Drosophila melanogaster: one gene and its partner. The protein of the gene in region 1 interacts with the protein of each later gene in a biochemical or structural test. Each region holds a gene or a part of one and is shown on either strand. Other genes may lie near its edges. The genes, in order: mus101 and Top2.

Region 1 (7,449 bases):
GCGCCCTAGGCGCCGTTGTTTATTGGATTTATTTTATTTGTTATATACCCAAGCCATTATACTAGATTAAACTACATACACACACATGCATGTGGGACGTGTGTCTTTTCGTGTCTGTGGTGTTAGTGTTTGTATGTATGTATATACTGTGTATACTGGTTAAGTGTTGCGTCCTGGTAGCCTTATTCCTTGCTCCTCCTCCGTTCCATCCTTATCCGTATTATCATTATCATCATCATCATCATCATCATCATTAGCATTACCATTAATATTAATATTAATATAATCCTCAAAATATTTGTTCCTGCGAGCGGGGAAGCAGCATTGATTTAACTAAATCTAGGTGAACTCCGAATAAATAGTATAAACGCAAAGCTAAAACGAGAAAACGAATTTCCGCGAAATTCAACCGAGACCGGCTCTAAACATTGACGGCATTCTGCAGAGCTGTCTTGTCATCTACGATAATATTGGCCGCCGTAGTGGTCGGATTGGAGCTGAGCAGCTGCTTGGTGGACGAACTGGAGGAGTAGCTATCACTGGAGCTGCGCGTCGAGGCCGAGTTGCCGCTGATTGGGCTGTCCAACATGTCTGGATGGCAGTAAGATATATGTTTTAATCATGTGACAATTGGAAACCGAATCAGAAACACCAACCTGGCAGGGAGCTTACGTTGTTGGACTTCAAGTCCACAACCGTTGTCACCGATCCGGAGCCCACCATGTTGCCCACCGATGTGGACTTTTTGTGCAGGTTCTTCTTAACTGCACTACTGAAACCCACAACGACGGGTCCCACTCCAGCTTGTCCGCCCACTGATCCTGCGCTCCTGCCCACGCTGAGACCGCCATTGCCCAGACTGCCGGCGCCAAGGGGATCACCGCTTTTGGCTCGCTCCGTGGGGCACAGTGGGCTTAATATCGAATTCTGAGTATCCTCCGGCGTGTAGTAATCCGAATCCTCGGCCGTGGCCTCGGCGGGTGAGGGTGCACCGCTTCCGCTAAGTTCTGGTCTCGGTTTGGTGCGCTTTATCGACGAACCCTTCTTTAGGCTGGACTCCTCGGTCGGCCCATCACCAGTGCTGCTCTTATTATCGACATCATCATCCGCTTCCAGGCAGGCCACCACCTGCTTCAGCGATTTGCTAGAAACGTTCTTGCTCTTGCTGCCGGGTGATAGCAGAGGCGATAGCTTCTCGTTCTCACTGTCCACATCGTCATCGGTACCCGCGGAGCCATCGCCACCGGAACCGGCTGTGGATCTGGGATACTTTCGTTCGTTAACAATCTGCAGCTTGTCCTGTTTCGGTTCCGGCGAAGTGGATGCCCCCAATGTTGGCGAAGTACAGGTGGCCGTGCTGGACTTCTTCGGATCGCTTTCAATCTCCACAGAGTGTGTGGATGACCCATTGCCGCCGCCCGATTGATTGGTAATGGTGCCCACCTCACTGGTCGACGTGCACGTCGAAGCGTTTTTCTTGATCTTCGGTCGACGCTGGCTGCTGGACTTGATCGGCGATGTGGCCTTGATGTCAGCACTGGTCATTGTCGAAGCGGCCACGGTGGCAGCTGAGTCCGTGACATCGTGTTCGCTGTTCCTGAATTTTGGAAAAAAAGGCATCAGCTACGTAAGATTTATCGGTTAATTCCATTCCATAACTCACCTAGCCCTGGCCACATACTGTGGCGGTCCGTTGAGTGCCTCAATTAGTGAGACTGGAATATAGCCTGGCGGAACATCCACTGGCGCCGGCTCCCCGGCCGCCGATGTGGGCGTGTTCTGGTGCAGTACATGCGTGCTAATTCCCTTCTGGACAGCACGGATCTGAAGCAACGCCCGAAACGGAGCGCGACAAATGGGACAATTGTTGGCCTGATAGCGCAGCGAATCCGCGCATGAATTGCACAAACAGAGATGGCGGCAGGGCAGGATGAGCGTATCCCTCGTCTCACTCATGCAAATAACACACTCGCTGCCATGATCGTCGATCTCCTCGTCCAGAGACGTTTTGTTCACGGCCTTGTTCTCGATGCCATAGATCTCCTGTAGCAGGTAGCACAAGCCATCCACAAAGATCTTTTGCTTCAATGCACGCAGCACATAGCTGCCGTTTTCCGGATGATGATCGATCACACAGATGGTGGTGTGCGATTGCCGACACTCGTCGCTGCCCTCCTCCACCACACAGTGAATGGCCACGGGATACTGTTCACGGCCGGGACTATAGCCCAGTTCATCCTCGGGCATCTGCTGCGGATTGAAGACATGGCTCGGCTGCGAGAAGCACTGATTGATGCCCTTCTCGTAGTGGTACGTCTCCGAGGTGAGACCCTCGCGCGGCACCAGTGTCACGCCGCTGGGACTGACATCCTCCGAGCAGAAATAGTAAATGGTAATGGCGCACTTGGCGTCCGAGTCAAAGGTAAACTCGATGTTGTAAGAGCAGGGCGGCGGTGGGGGCGTCATATCGGCATCACCGCCACCCAAACCCATCGAGCAGAGCACATTTCCATCCACATCCTCGATGGTCACGTTGGACTTCTCCTTGTCCAGATCCAAGTCCCGATCAATCTCCTTCATCTTGGGCTTCTCGAGTACACCGCCCAGCTTCTTGTCGTTCATCGTCTTGACGAAACGCACCGACTCCTTGCGAATGTTGACCAGACTCTTCAGGGTCTTCGTCGGTTCATTGGCCTGCGGCGGGGGATACGGAAAGGCTGTGGGTCGATTGCCCAGGAAATTGAGATCCGCATTCTCGCCAAACAAGTACGATTCCGGTTGGGGCGTGTCGAAGCGCTCGCCGCCCATGATGAAGTGGGTGCCAAAGAAGTTACCCATTCTCGGTGGATACTTGTAGGCATTGTTCGTGCTCGGATCGGCCTCCTCCACCGCCGCGTTCTGTCTGCTCACAAAGTTGCCCATTTGATAGGTTGGTGCTATGGAAAACTGTGACACAGATCCAATATAGCTCTTGGCCTACGTTTTCTCTTCGCTTTGGTTTAGTTTATTATTCTATTTCAGTTGGTCACCACCACACATACAATGGCATGTTGGCATTTCACTTGTTCGGCGGAAAATGGCCGCTGTGTGTGTGTGAGTGTGCGAAAGCTGTGGTCGCCTTCAAGTGTTGGATCCTGTGTCCACAAAACTAGCAATAGTACAAGTTGGTCAATGTCTTGATTATTTCTGATTTGCCTTTCCTTTCTTCTTTCTTCCTTTCTTTTAGGGCTGAGCTGCCGTCGACGACGTGGATATCGATATTTCGCTTAATGAAATATATCGATAGCTTAAACCAAAACTGATAAATAACTGCTTATTTTCGAAATATTTTATTTATTTGATAAAAAGTAAATAAAAAATCCTTACATCTTAGAGATAAATAATTAAAATTACCCATACACATTATTTTTTAATTCGCCGTCGGCGTTGCCACATAGCTCAACTCGTAGTTGCCAACTAATCACAAGCCAGCGTTGCCAACGGTTTGAAGGCAATAACAAACGGCGCCAAAATAGCGTACGCGAAAAAAAGTGCAGTGCGAAAATCACGGCAATTTTGCAGCGCATCACGGAGCAGAGAACACACTCGCAACCGCCATCATGAGCATAAGCATGAGCATGGACGAGACCATCTGCGCGTACTTCGTGAACAATCTGAAGCCGGGCGACGGTGGCGTCCAGGAGGCCGACACACTGCAGCAATTCGAGGCGGCGCGGGAGCTACTGGGCCAACAGTTGGCGGAAACGCAGATCCGGCAAATAAAGCCAAGCGAAGGATATCCCCTGATCGCAGCCGGTAACCTTACCAAGAAGGACGTCTTTGTGCTGACCCAGTTCGAGGGCGAATTCTTCGAGCAATTGCAGCAGACGCGAGCACTAATTCTGGGGCCACCGTGCCTCATCACCTGCCTGCGGCGCAATGAACCCATTCCCGAGGGCAGCAGTGCCATCTACAGCACGGCCATGCGGGATCTGCAGGTCTCGGCCACGGGCATAACACCACAGAAGAAAGAGGAATTGAGCAGGCTCATAAACTGGATGGGCGGCATATACTTTCAAAGCTTCGGGCATCGCACCACCCACCTCATTTCGAACACCATCAAGTCCAGCAAGTACGAGCAGGCAACGCTGAACGGAGTACCCGTAATGCACGTCGACTGGGTGCAGTACGTCTGGGATCAGAGTCGTCGCAGCCAGCGCGAGGGCATCATGGCCACGGATCCTGATTTCGATAAGTATCGCCTGCCCATTTTCTTTGGTGCGAATATCACGTGCAGTGGATTGGATGTGGCGCGCAAGGATCAAGTTATGCGGCTGGTCAACGATAATGGAGGCATCTATCATCGTGCCTTTCGCTCCCAGGTGGTGGACATCGTCATCACCGAGCAAACAAAAACGGACACCGAGAAGTATAAGGCAGCCATACGCTACAAGAAGGATGTCTTGCTGCCGGAATGGATCTTCGATAGCTGCAATCGCGGCTACGCTCTGCCCACAAAGGACTATGAGGTGCGGCCTGGCAAGACGTCGTCCACACCCACCAAGACCACTCGTCCGGGCGCAGCTCCCGGTGCAGATCAAACGCACCTCTCGGATCTCTCACGTATCAGCTTCGTCTCCGGCTCGCGTCGCATGTGCAGCGATCTTAGTACCGTCAACGAATCCGTCAGCAGTGTGGGCAGCAGTTCGCCCGCCAAGCAGCTGCTCAAGCAGGCGACTAGCAGTGGCCGCAACTACCAGCAGGTGCTGGCCGAGATTGAACCGCGTCAGGCGAAAAAAGCGGGCGCCTTTCTGGATGGCTGCTGTGTGTATTTGAGTGGCTTCCGCTCAGAGGAGCGTGAGAAGCTAAACAGAGTGCTGAATACGGGCGGAGCGACCCGCTACGATGAGGCCAATGAGGGCATCTCACACATCATTGTGGGCCAACTGGATGACGCCGAATACCGACAGTGGCAGCGCGATGGTCTCATGGGTTCAGTTCATGTGGTGCGCCTAGATTGGCTGCTGGAGAGCATTCGAGCTGGTCGCGTGGTCAGTGAGTTGGTGCATCGTGTGTCGATGCCACAGAATCGAGAACCAGACGTTGCCTCTCCTGCCAGCAAGCGAACACTGCGCTCCATGAACCACAGCTTCAAGCAGCCAACATTGCCCATCAAGAAGAAGCTTTTCGATCAGGAACCGGATCCCGTGCAGGAACAGGAGCACGAGGAGCCGGATCATACGCTGCTGGATCAGTACTCACAGGATCAAGGAGCAGTGGCACAACTGCCACCGGCAGATGTTAGTCTCCTTCAACCAGCGGCAAGTTCCACCCAAATGGATATACGCCAGCGAGTCTCGGTAGCCAATCCAAAACCACCCGCTGAGGGTTTGCAATTGCCGGATCTCAGTGCCAGCACTCTATCCATTGATTTCGATAAGCTGGACTACTTCGCCGGTGTCTCTGTTTATGTGCACAGGGAGTGTTTCAACGAGGAGTTCTTCAACCAAATGCTAACCGAATGCGAAGCTGCCCAAGGCTTATTGGTGCCATCGAGTTTCTCCGATGAAGTGGATTTCGCCATTGTCAGCTTTGAGGTAGCCTTCGATGTGAAGCAATTACCCGTCAAGGCCCGCCATGTGGTCACCGAACTGTTCCTGGAAAGCTGTATGAAAAAGAATCAACTGCTGCCCATCGAATATTACCACAAACATGTGCCGGCTACCGCACTGCGTCAGCCGCTTAAGGGAATGACTATTGTCGTATCCATTTATGCAGGATTGGAGCGGGACTTTATTAATGCGACAGCAGAACTACTTGGCGCCTCCGTCAATAAGACATTCATCAAGAAGGAGAAACCGCTGCTGGTGTGTCCCAGTGCCGAGGGCTCCAAGTATGAAGGTGCCATCAAATGGAACTATCCCGTAGTCACATCCGATTGGCTGGTGCAGTGCGCCCGCACTGGTCAGAAGCTGCCCTTCGTTGGATATTTGGTGGGCAAGAGTCCCGAGGATTTCCCCATATCGCCACGCTTGCGGGACAGCAATAGCCGGACAGCAAGAAGACCGAATGAATCCACATTGGTGGCTCAACCGGATGTAACCATGGAGGAGGCCGAGAACCAACCGGCGGGATCTGTCACACCAGTTACTGCTGGCAGTCCAGGAGCTCCTGAACTGACGCCCCTGCGCAACAAGAGAGTTTCCGAGCTAGCTGGAATACCAGGAGGCAGTGCTCTTCATCGTGGCAGCAACTCCACATCTTCTCCGGACTCACCATGCACGCCACTTAGCCAGGTGGGTGCCCAGCAGTACAATCTGGACTTCCTAGAGCAATTCGTTCAACGCCTGGATACAGAAGAGGGCAAGGATTGTGTGCGCGAGATTATCCGTGAAATGCGCGAGAATCAAACGCCGGAATTGGAACGCATTCGACGGCAGGCCTGCACGCCCGTCAGTCGTAAGCATCAACGACCAGCACCGGGAATTCCAGATTTTTGTCTCACTCCCGAGTTCCAGCAGCGGATGGCCGATGATTTTGAGCGGCGCTGGCGCCTACCCACCATGAAAATCAAACCAGACACACCGTTGGCCGTCATCAGGCAGCGCGTGATGCGGATCACATGCGAAACTCTGGGCATCGAATATGAAGAAAGTAATGCTAAGACGCCAACGCTATCGGAATCGCCATCAACGGTAAAGAAGAAGCCGCCAACCAGGACGACGCAGGCCACCAAACTCAACTTTGATAGATCACCGAAAACACCGAAGCTATCGCTAGGTAAAAAGACGCCACTCCGGGTGTCCATGGGTTCACCCCGCAGCGGAACGCAATCACCCTTCGTACCGAACACACAGAGTCCAATCGAAGCAGCGCCGCCACGGCGTTCAGATGGTCCAACGTTAAGCGAGGAAGGTCAGAGCACTATTAACTTTGACAAGATTAGCTTCGAGGAGTCGGCCGTGCCCGTATTGGCCCCAGATGTTCCCACAGTGGCGCCAGATGTCAAGCAAATCACCGACTATCTAAAGAACTGCGAATCGCGAAGGAACAGTCTGAAGCGTAGCCACGACAACGACATGGATTGCGGCGAGAGCGAGGTGCAGTATGTGCAGCCCTTCGAGTCCGAGGGCTTCGCCCTGGGCACCGAGGACATGGTCGACTGGCGCGATCCGGCGGAGTTCAATGCGGCAAAGAGAAGATCCTCTGGCGGTTCGCCCAAGATGCAGTATGCTGGCATACCGTGCTTCAGCATCTCGTGCGGTGATGATGACGAAAAGCGGGCGGAACTAATCGCGCGGATCACCCAACTGGGCGGAAAAGTGTGCGAGAATCTGGTGAACTATGACGATAGCTGCACCCATCTGCTGTGCGAGCGTCCGAATCGCGGCGAGAAGATGCTGGCCTGCATTGCGGCCGGGAAATGGATACTAAATATCCAGTATATCGAACAGTCGCATGCGCGTGGCG
Region 2 (7,449 bases), on another chromosome or scaffold:
TCGTCGACGGTTACTTGATTGGGTCGCCACAGTCCGAATCGGTAGATGAGTATCCTATGGCCATGTTGATCCCGATAGGGAGTCACTGTCAGGATGTCCGATTGCCCAACATGTCTCAGGTCCAGAGGACGAACCTTCTCATAAAAGCTTTTGTTCTGCTCCCGAAACCTGTAGTAACTGCAGAGCTGAAAGGGAATGAGTTATTGCATTTACCTAATAGATAATTATCAAATAGTCACTTGCTGTTGGCAAACTAAAATGAAGATTTCCCCAAGTTTTCTTACCAATTTGTAACTGTTCTCGATTTTCCAGTAGCGGGCTCTTAGGAATTTCTCCAGGTACTTCGCATCACTTCTGTGTGGTTGGCATTCATTATGTTCTGGAGAGGTTTTGTTCAGATGAATACCTTTGTACCTCTTAGACAACGGACTATAACCAACCTAGTATGTAGTTACGGAATTGTTCGATGACCTTATCCTTGGAACTGGGACACTCTCCCTGCTCCTGGGCAAGTCGGCGGATGTGCTCCGGAACCTCCTCCTCGGTGATGTTTAGCTTGTGCTCGATGGTGGGCATGGTGCGGCATCCACTGCTGGTCGTCTAAAAAAAGCCCAAACTATAGATACAATGTGGCCATAAGGGGGTGGTGCATTGATAAGCGCTTTTCACTCGCGCAAAATGTAAATAAAAATAAATCCAGTTGAGAATAGCGCAATATGACTGTTCCCGATTGTTTCGTTGTTAGCAACATTTCGCCACCCGTATTGACATTTAAATTTCAGAGAGATTTGGCATGTCACTGCTGGATGAATTTCTCGTTGTTACCATTTATGGGCTGTGATCCGCTCGACTCCAAGTGTGAAACTGAGCCCCCGATCGGAACCAGAATCGGGCCAAGTGGTGACAGTCCCAGGCGAAATGCTGTTTTACTTGTCGCTAAACATGTACGAGTGTGTATGCGACCATTAAATATTAACTAGAAACCGAACAACAATGAACATTGCGATAGCGCGAAGGAGACAGCCGATGAGTGATAACAGTGTGTCACTGAGCTCGAGCTAAATTTAGTGAATCTGCTGTACTTAATTGATGGAGCGGGAATCCACAAGAATTATAAACAATATAGTATAAGTAAAGTGTTGTGCAATTACTCAGTTTTGGCTGCACTTAGTTTTTAGAAACATTGCCTTTGGGTTGGTTGTTTCCAGCAATCAATACATTAGGTAGGTACACTTTCAAAACAATGTATGCAAAATGAAATCATTAAAATTTTTAAAATCATTTAAAATATATTAATATAATATAATAATATATATATATATAATATAAATATATACTAATTGGGGGTTAGTACCGATTGTTACATTGCTAGCTTAATCTTGGAATTGCATAGTGTTCAGCATCAGCCCCAAAATATGTGCTCTTGTTAGGTGTACCTCGACCTGGCCTTGGCCGGATTTCCCAATTCCTATCCCTACACCCCAAAACGCAGAGCCAGACCCAAACTTGCCCCCAGTGAACCCCGCGATTGTAGAGGAGCCACTGCCTGATAAGGCATTATCCGCCGCGTTCCCAGTTCGCCAATGGCTAATCGGGTCGCTTGGGGTCTGTGCGGTGCAGCGTTGTGTGAGTTCGACGCGTATTTGGCAGATACTGTGAGATGATGCCACCGCGATCTCAAAGTGCAGCACACACAAATTTCACACGTGGTGGCCGTGCAAAGTGCCTGGGTCAATATTTAATCATATTCAACAAATTCCAACTAATTACACATTATGCACTTTTAAGTACGCCTGATTGCAGTGCTTAAGTCCCAGCACATACATACTCGTAGTTCGGTTCAAGTGTTAATGAACTCGCCATTGTTGTCGTTAATTGTCTACATGGATTTGATAATCCCAAGATAATCACAATAATAGTGCCCCCCATTAGGGTGTTTGATAATAAGCGATTATTTCACAGCCCCACCTGCACCTTTAAACACCTGTTTAAATCGCCCCATTAGCTCGGGGTCTTCACTTTCATTACCAGGTAATAATCCAATCCGAGTGGCGGTTACTGTTTCTGGTCACGGTTTCTATTTTTTCCAGCTTGCAGTACGGGGAATCCGACTTAACGAAGATCGCACACAAGTGGCATCGCAGAAGCTTGGAATGAAACTGAGCTGGGGATCGCTTAGAACAGAAGATTTTATGAACACAAGTCTCAATGGAAAAAGTCGAGAAAAAGCGCAGCACTTATGACTATAAACCAGTATGCGAGAACGAGAAACCAGCATCTGAAAATAGGGAGAGCCAGCTCGATGAAACGACGATGCAAACACCCTTAAAAACGCAATTAAGTAAAATTTGTTGATTAACAATACATATACATACAATTTATTCAAAAAAAAAAAAAAGAAACTAATTGCTAATTGTAGTACTTATGTTTATCTTTTTATCTTACCAAATCTTAGGAGTTTTAGCTCACATCTTGTTCAACTTGCTAATAGTATCCTGGAATAAACTGCACTTAACTCCGCTAGTTCACAATTTTCCCATGCATCAGCTGAAATTCCCAATTTGGCAGGGTACAAACTGCACTCCGCATATTGAGAGATCTTTGCTGATGCTTGTCAAACGAGAATCAACAGATTTGGAGGAGTAGAGAATATTTCTGGACGATATTCGATGCTGTGCAAGTTCAATGAGCTCCGGTGACGTCACTGCGTGAAGGGTTCTCCATTACCCAAGCAGAAATTCCGAGTAACTCGGATGAATCCAGAATCTTTATATTTTGTTTGCACTATTCAAAACATGTTTCTGAGCCGGAATGAAAATCGCAACGGGATGGGGAGGGACATGCCCCTTTATGACGTCGTGTTGGGCAAGGTCAGGCAAAATGGCAGAAAGAAAACCAGTTCTCTTGTAGCCATGGTCTTGGCTTTGGAATATTCATATTACCAGGTGGTTAATTGAAAAGCAATCTTCACTTCAACGGTGCGAAATTTAATTGCACAAATGCAACTTTAGCAGCAATTTTTCATTTCATTTCATTTTAAGTAATTGCTGTATATCACATTGATGTGGGATACAATACTAAGCATATGAAAGGATAAATTTCTTAATGGTTTTACTTTGTCTTAAATTTTTGATAATTTGCATTTAGATCGAAATATTTTATCTTTTTTACATTTATTTCAATGCCGATTTATAATGTAAAAAATAGAAGAAATGTTAGTTGGAATAATTAAAACCCCTACTTTCGACTCGAAAAAGAATTTAACCCCAAAAATGTTATTATTATTTATTACCTTCGAATTTTTTAGAATTAACTGTTGCTTAACTCATCACGTGATTGAGATAGAACTAAAAAACCGTGATTTTGGCGATCACGCTTTTAGCGGAGTCACCGACCGCAGTTACTAGTTTAGCCCTGTTCACAATGAGCGTATGCACCAACCCAAACAACACTGTTATGGGACTTATCGATAGCGATTTCATTCAAACATCGATTTGTGCGCCTTGCCAGCTCTAAAACCAGCAATACTTCTCATTTGTTGTCGGTTGTGAAAAGTTGTTAAATGTGCTGTGCGTATTTTAATAGTTAGTTGAGAACTGTACAAGTTTTAGCTAAAGGCAGCAGACGCGTGGGGCACGTACAAGTCGAAAATTGTAGTGCACCGCCTCGTGTATCGCCTGCAACATAGAGTTTTGCCGCACTTCGGTTGTCGGCGGCAGCAAGAAAAGGCCACAAATACTTGGCAATTTTTTAACCAGGTAAGCAGAAAGTGCTGAATCATAATCGTAGAATTGGCTGTACCGTAGAACCTAAGAGCCCTGTCTAATTAATCCTTTAATATGATGGATATAGCAATTTTTCGGTGGCGTCGCTTGCAAATTAAAAATGGCGATACCGGTATAGACATTTAGCTAATTTTGGGCCTTTAAAAACCATAGTTTTTTGATTTTGTAGCGCGGAGCGCGTATGTAGGCCTGAATTTGTTTACTATAAAGTGAAACCCCTCGAAGAACCTTAATAAGAAATAATAAATAGCGGTGACTACCGGCAAACGCCAATAAACACGCACACTCACGCAACAGACGGCGCACGCCAAGCGTTGCCGCCAAAGAGACAGGGCTGTTATGTATTTCAAAGTGTGCTGAAAATCTGTTCCCAGTACAGTAGCACCAGGCAAAATAATACTTAGTTTGACGTTTTTCAATTTATCTGCAGTTATTTCTGTTTGACGTACCCAACCATTTCCCATGTTGGCCAAGTCCCATTCCATTGCAGCGTTTGTCTGGACGGCATTTACGCAATGCGCGGGCGCGCGTTTTGTTTTTTTTTTTCACCGTGGGTACAGTGCGCATTCATTAATAAAAAATTGTTGAACAGCAGCATCAGCAGCATTGGCATCACATGCCAACGCACAACCATCCCCGTTATTAAGAGGCCATTAAACATATTGGGTGCCATCTATCTTATTTGGTATTATAACAATTAAAAAAAAAACGTGAACATAATATTACTAATATACTAATAGCAACTGTTAACTGGGTGGGTACTGTAGTCTTCTGCTAGTAGCTTTGGTTTTTTTTTTACTTAGTAGAACGCAGGACGAGTGATTAATAGTAGCTAAGGCAATGGCTCGGAATATTAGTTATTAATATTAATATTACATTAACAAATGCCTTTTGCTTACTCTTTGAAGATTCAGCTAAAGCACAGCGACAGAAGCATCATGGAGAACGGAAACAAGGCCCTGTCCATCGAACAGATGTACCAGAAGAAGTCGCAGCTGGAGCACATCCTGCTGCGACCCGACTCGTACATCGGATCCGTGGAGTTCACCAAGGAGCTGATGTGGGTGTATGACAACTCCCAAAACCGCATGGTGCAGAAGGAGATCTCTTTCGTGCCCGGCCTCTACAAGATATTCGACGAGATTCTTGTGAATGCGGCAGATAACAAGCAGCGAGACAAGAGCATGAACACCATTAAGATCGACATCGATCCGGAGCGCAATATGGTGTCCGTGTGGAACAACGGCCAGGGCATTCCGGTGACCATGCACAAGGAGCAGAAGATGTACGTTCCAACGATGATCTTTGGTCATCTGCTGACCTCGTCGAACTACAACGACGATGAGAAGAAGGTCACTGGCGGCAGGAACGGATACGGAGCGAAGCTCTGCAACATATTCTCCACCAGCTTCACCGTTGAGACTGCCACGAGGGAATACAAGAAAAGTTTCAAGCAGACTTGGGGAAACAACATGGGAAAAGCCTCCGATGTGCAGGTAAGGAAATAACATTTCTTATTTTAGACCATCATCTAATGTTCAGTAAACCCACAGATCAAGGACTTCAATGGCACTGACTACACACGCATCACATTCAGTCCCGATCTGGCCAAGTTCAAGATGGACCGTCTCGATGAAGATATTGTGGCTCTAATGTCGCGTCGCGCCTACGATGTGGCCGCCTCATCCAAGGGAGTATCCGTCTTCTTAAACGGCAACAAACTGGGTGTACGCAACTTCAAGGACTATATTGATTTGCACATCAAGAACACGGACGACGATTCTGGCCCACCGATCAAGATAGTCCACGAGGTTGCCAACGAGCGTTGGGAGGTGGCTTGCTGTCCTTCAGATCGAGGCTTCCAACAGGTCTCGTTTGTCAACTCGATAGCTACCTACAAGGGCGGTCGGCATGTGGACCATGTGGTAGACAATCTCATTAAGCAGCTGCTCGAGGTTCTGAAGAAAAAGAACAAAGGTACGTTTAACTTAAAATGTGTATTTTCTTAAACAACAACTAATATTTGCTTTGAACCTCTTCCAGGTGGCATCAACATCAAGCCATTCCAGGTCCGAAACCATCTGTGGGTTTTTGTCAACTGCTTGATAGAGAACCCCACTTTCGACTCGCAGACCAAGGAGAACATGACTCTGCAACAAAAGGGCTTCGGTTCCAAGTGTACCCTCTCGGAAAAGTTCATCAACAACATGTCCAAGTCTGGCATCGTGGAGTCTGTGCTGGCATGGGCCAAGTTCAAGGCCCAAAATGACATTGCCAAGACGGGCGGTCGCAAGTCAAGCAAGATCAAGGGCATTCCCAAGCTGGAGGACGCTAACGAGGCGGGTGGAAAGAACTCGATTAAATGCACCCTCATCCTCACCGAGGGAGACTCAGCCAAGTCATTGGCCGTATCCGGTTTGGGCGTGATCGGACGAGATCTCTACGGCGTGTTCCCGCTTAGGGGTAAACTTCTAAATGTGCGGGAAGCTAATTTCAAGCAGCTTTCGGAGAATGCCGAAATCAACAATTTATGCAAGATAATTGGCTTGCAATACAAAAAGAAGTACCTCACTGAGGACGATCTAAAAACTCTGCGCTATGGCAAAGTGATGATCATGACAGATCAGGATCAGGATGGCTCCCACATCAAGGGTCTCTTGATCAACTTTATCCACACCAATTGGCCAGAGCTTCTGCGTCTGCCCTTCCTCGAGGAGTTCATTACACCAATTGTGAAGGCAACCAAGAAAAACGAGGAGCTGTCATTCTACTCGCTACCCGAATTCGAGGAGTGGAAAAATGATACAGCTAATCACCATACGTACAATATAAAGTACTATAAGGGTTTGGGTACTTCGACCTCCAAGGAGGCGAAAGAGTATTTTCAAGACATGGATCGCCATCGCATCTTATTTAAGTACGATGGATCGGTGGATGATGAGAGCATTGTTATGGCCTTCTCCAAGAAGCACATCGAGTCGCGAAAGGTATGGCTTACCAACCACATGGACGAGGTGAAGCGTCGCAAGGAGCTCGGTTTGCCAGAGCGATATCTCTACACCAAGGGCACCAAGAGCATCACCTATGCAGACTTTATCAATCTGGAGTTGGTGCTGTTCTCGAATGCTGACAATGAGCGCTCCATTCCTAGTCTGGTGGATGGCTTGAAGCCGGGTCAGCGGAAGGTGATGTTCACTTGCTTCAAGAGGAATGACAAGCGTGAGGTGAAGGTGGCCCAGCTATCCGGATCAGTGGCGGAGATGTCAGCCTATCACCACGGAGAGGTATCCCTACAGATGACAATCGTGAATCTGGCTCAGAATTTTGTGGGTGCCAACAACATTAATCTGCTTGAGCCACGCGGTCAATTTGGTACCCGCTTGTCGGGAGGCAAAGATTGCGCCAGCGCTCGTTACATTTTCACTATAATGTCTCCCTTGACGCGACTCATCTACCATCCTTTGGACGATCCACTTTTGGATTACCAGGTGGACGATGGCCAAAAGATCGAGCCACTATGGTATCTGCCCATCATACCGATGGTATTGGTAAACGGAGCCGAGGGCATAGGAACTGGATGGTCCACGAAGATATCCAACTACAATCCTCGTGAGATTATGAAAAATCTAAGGAAGATGATAAACGGACAAGAGCCAAGTGTGAT

The links.
Region 2: the proteins of mus101 (region 1) and Top2 form a complex in vitro, tested with the Drosophila melanogaster proteins (one study listed by BioGRID).

Annotation. Positions count from the first base shown.
Region 1 is NC_004354.4:13,718,755-13,726,203, forward strand, and holds the start of mus101 (mutagen-sensitive 101), read left to right. Parts: upstream 1-3,491; 5' UTR 3,492-3,599; coding exon 3,600-7,449. Other genes in the region: Mrgn1 (mahogunin ring finger 1), read right to left, coding at 422-591, 657-1,597, 1,664-2,922.
Region 2 is NT_033779.5:19,449,560-19,457,008, reverse strand, and holds the start of Top2 (topoisomerase 2), read left to right. Parts: upstream 1-3,518; 5' UTR 3,519-3,758; intron 3,759-4,215; 5' UTR 4,216-4,470; intron 4,471-4,693; 5' UTR 4,694-4,723; coding exon 4,724-5,281; intron 5,282-5,338; coding exon 5,339-5,762; intron 5,763-5,828; coding exon 5,829-7,449. Other genes in the region: CG10026 (uncharacterized protein), read right to left, coding at 1-185, 285-379, 441-600, 826-828. UniProt on the Drosophila melanogaster protein: Control of topological states of DNA by transient breakage and subsequent rejoining of DNA strands. Topoisomerase II makes double-strand breaks. Essential during mitosis and meiosis for proper segregation of daughter chromosomes.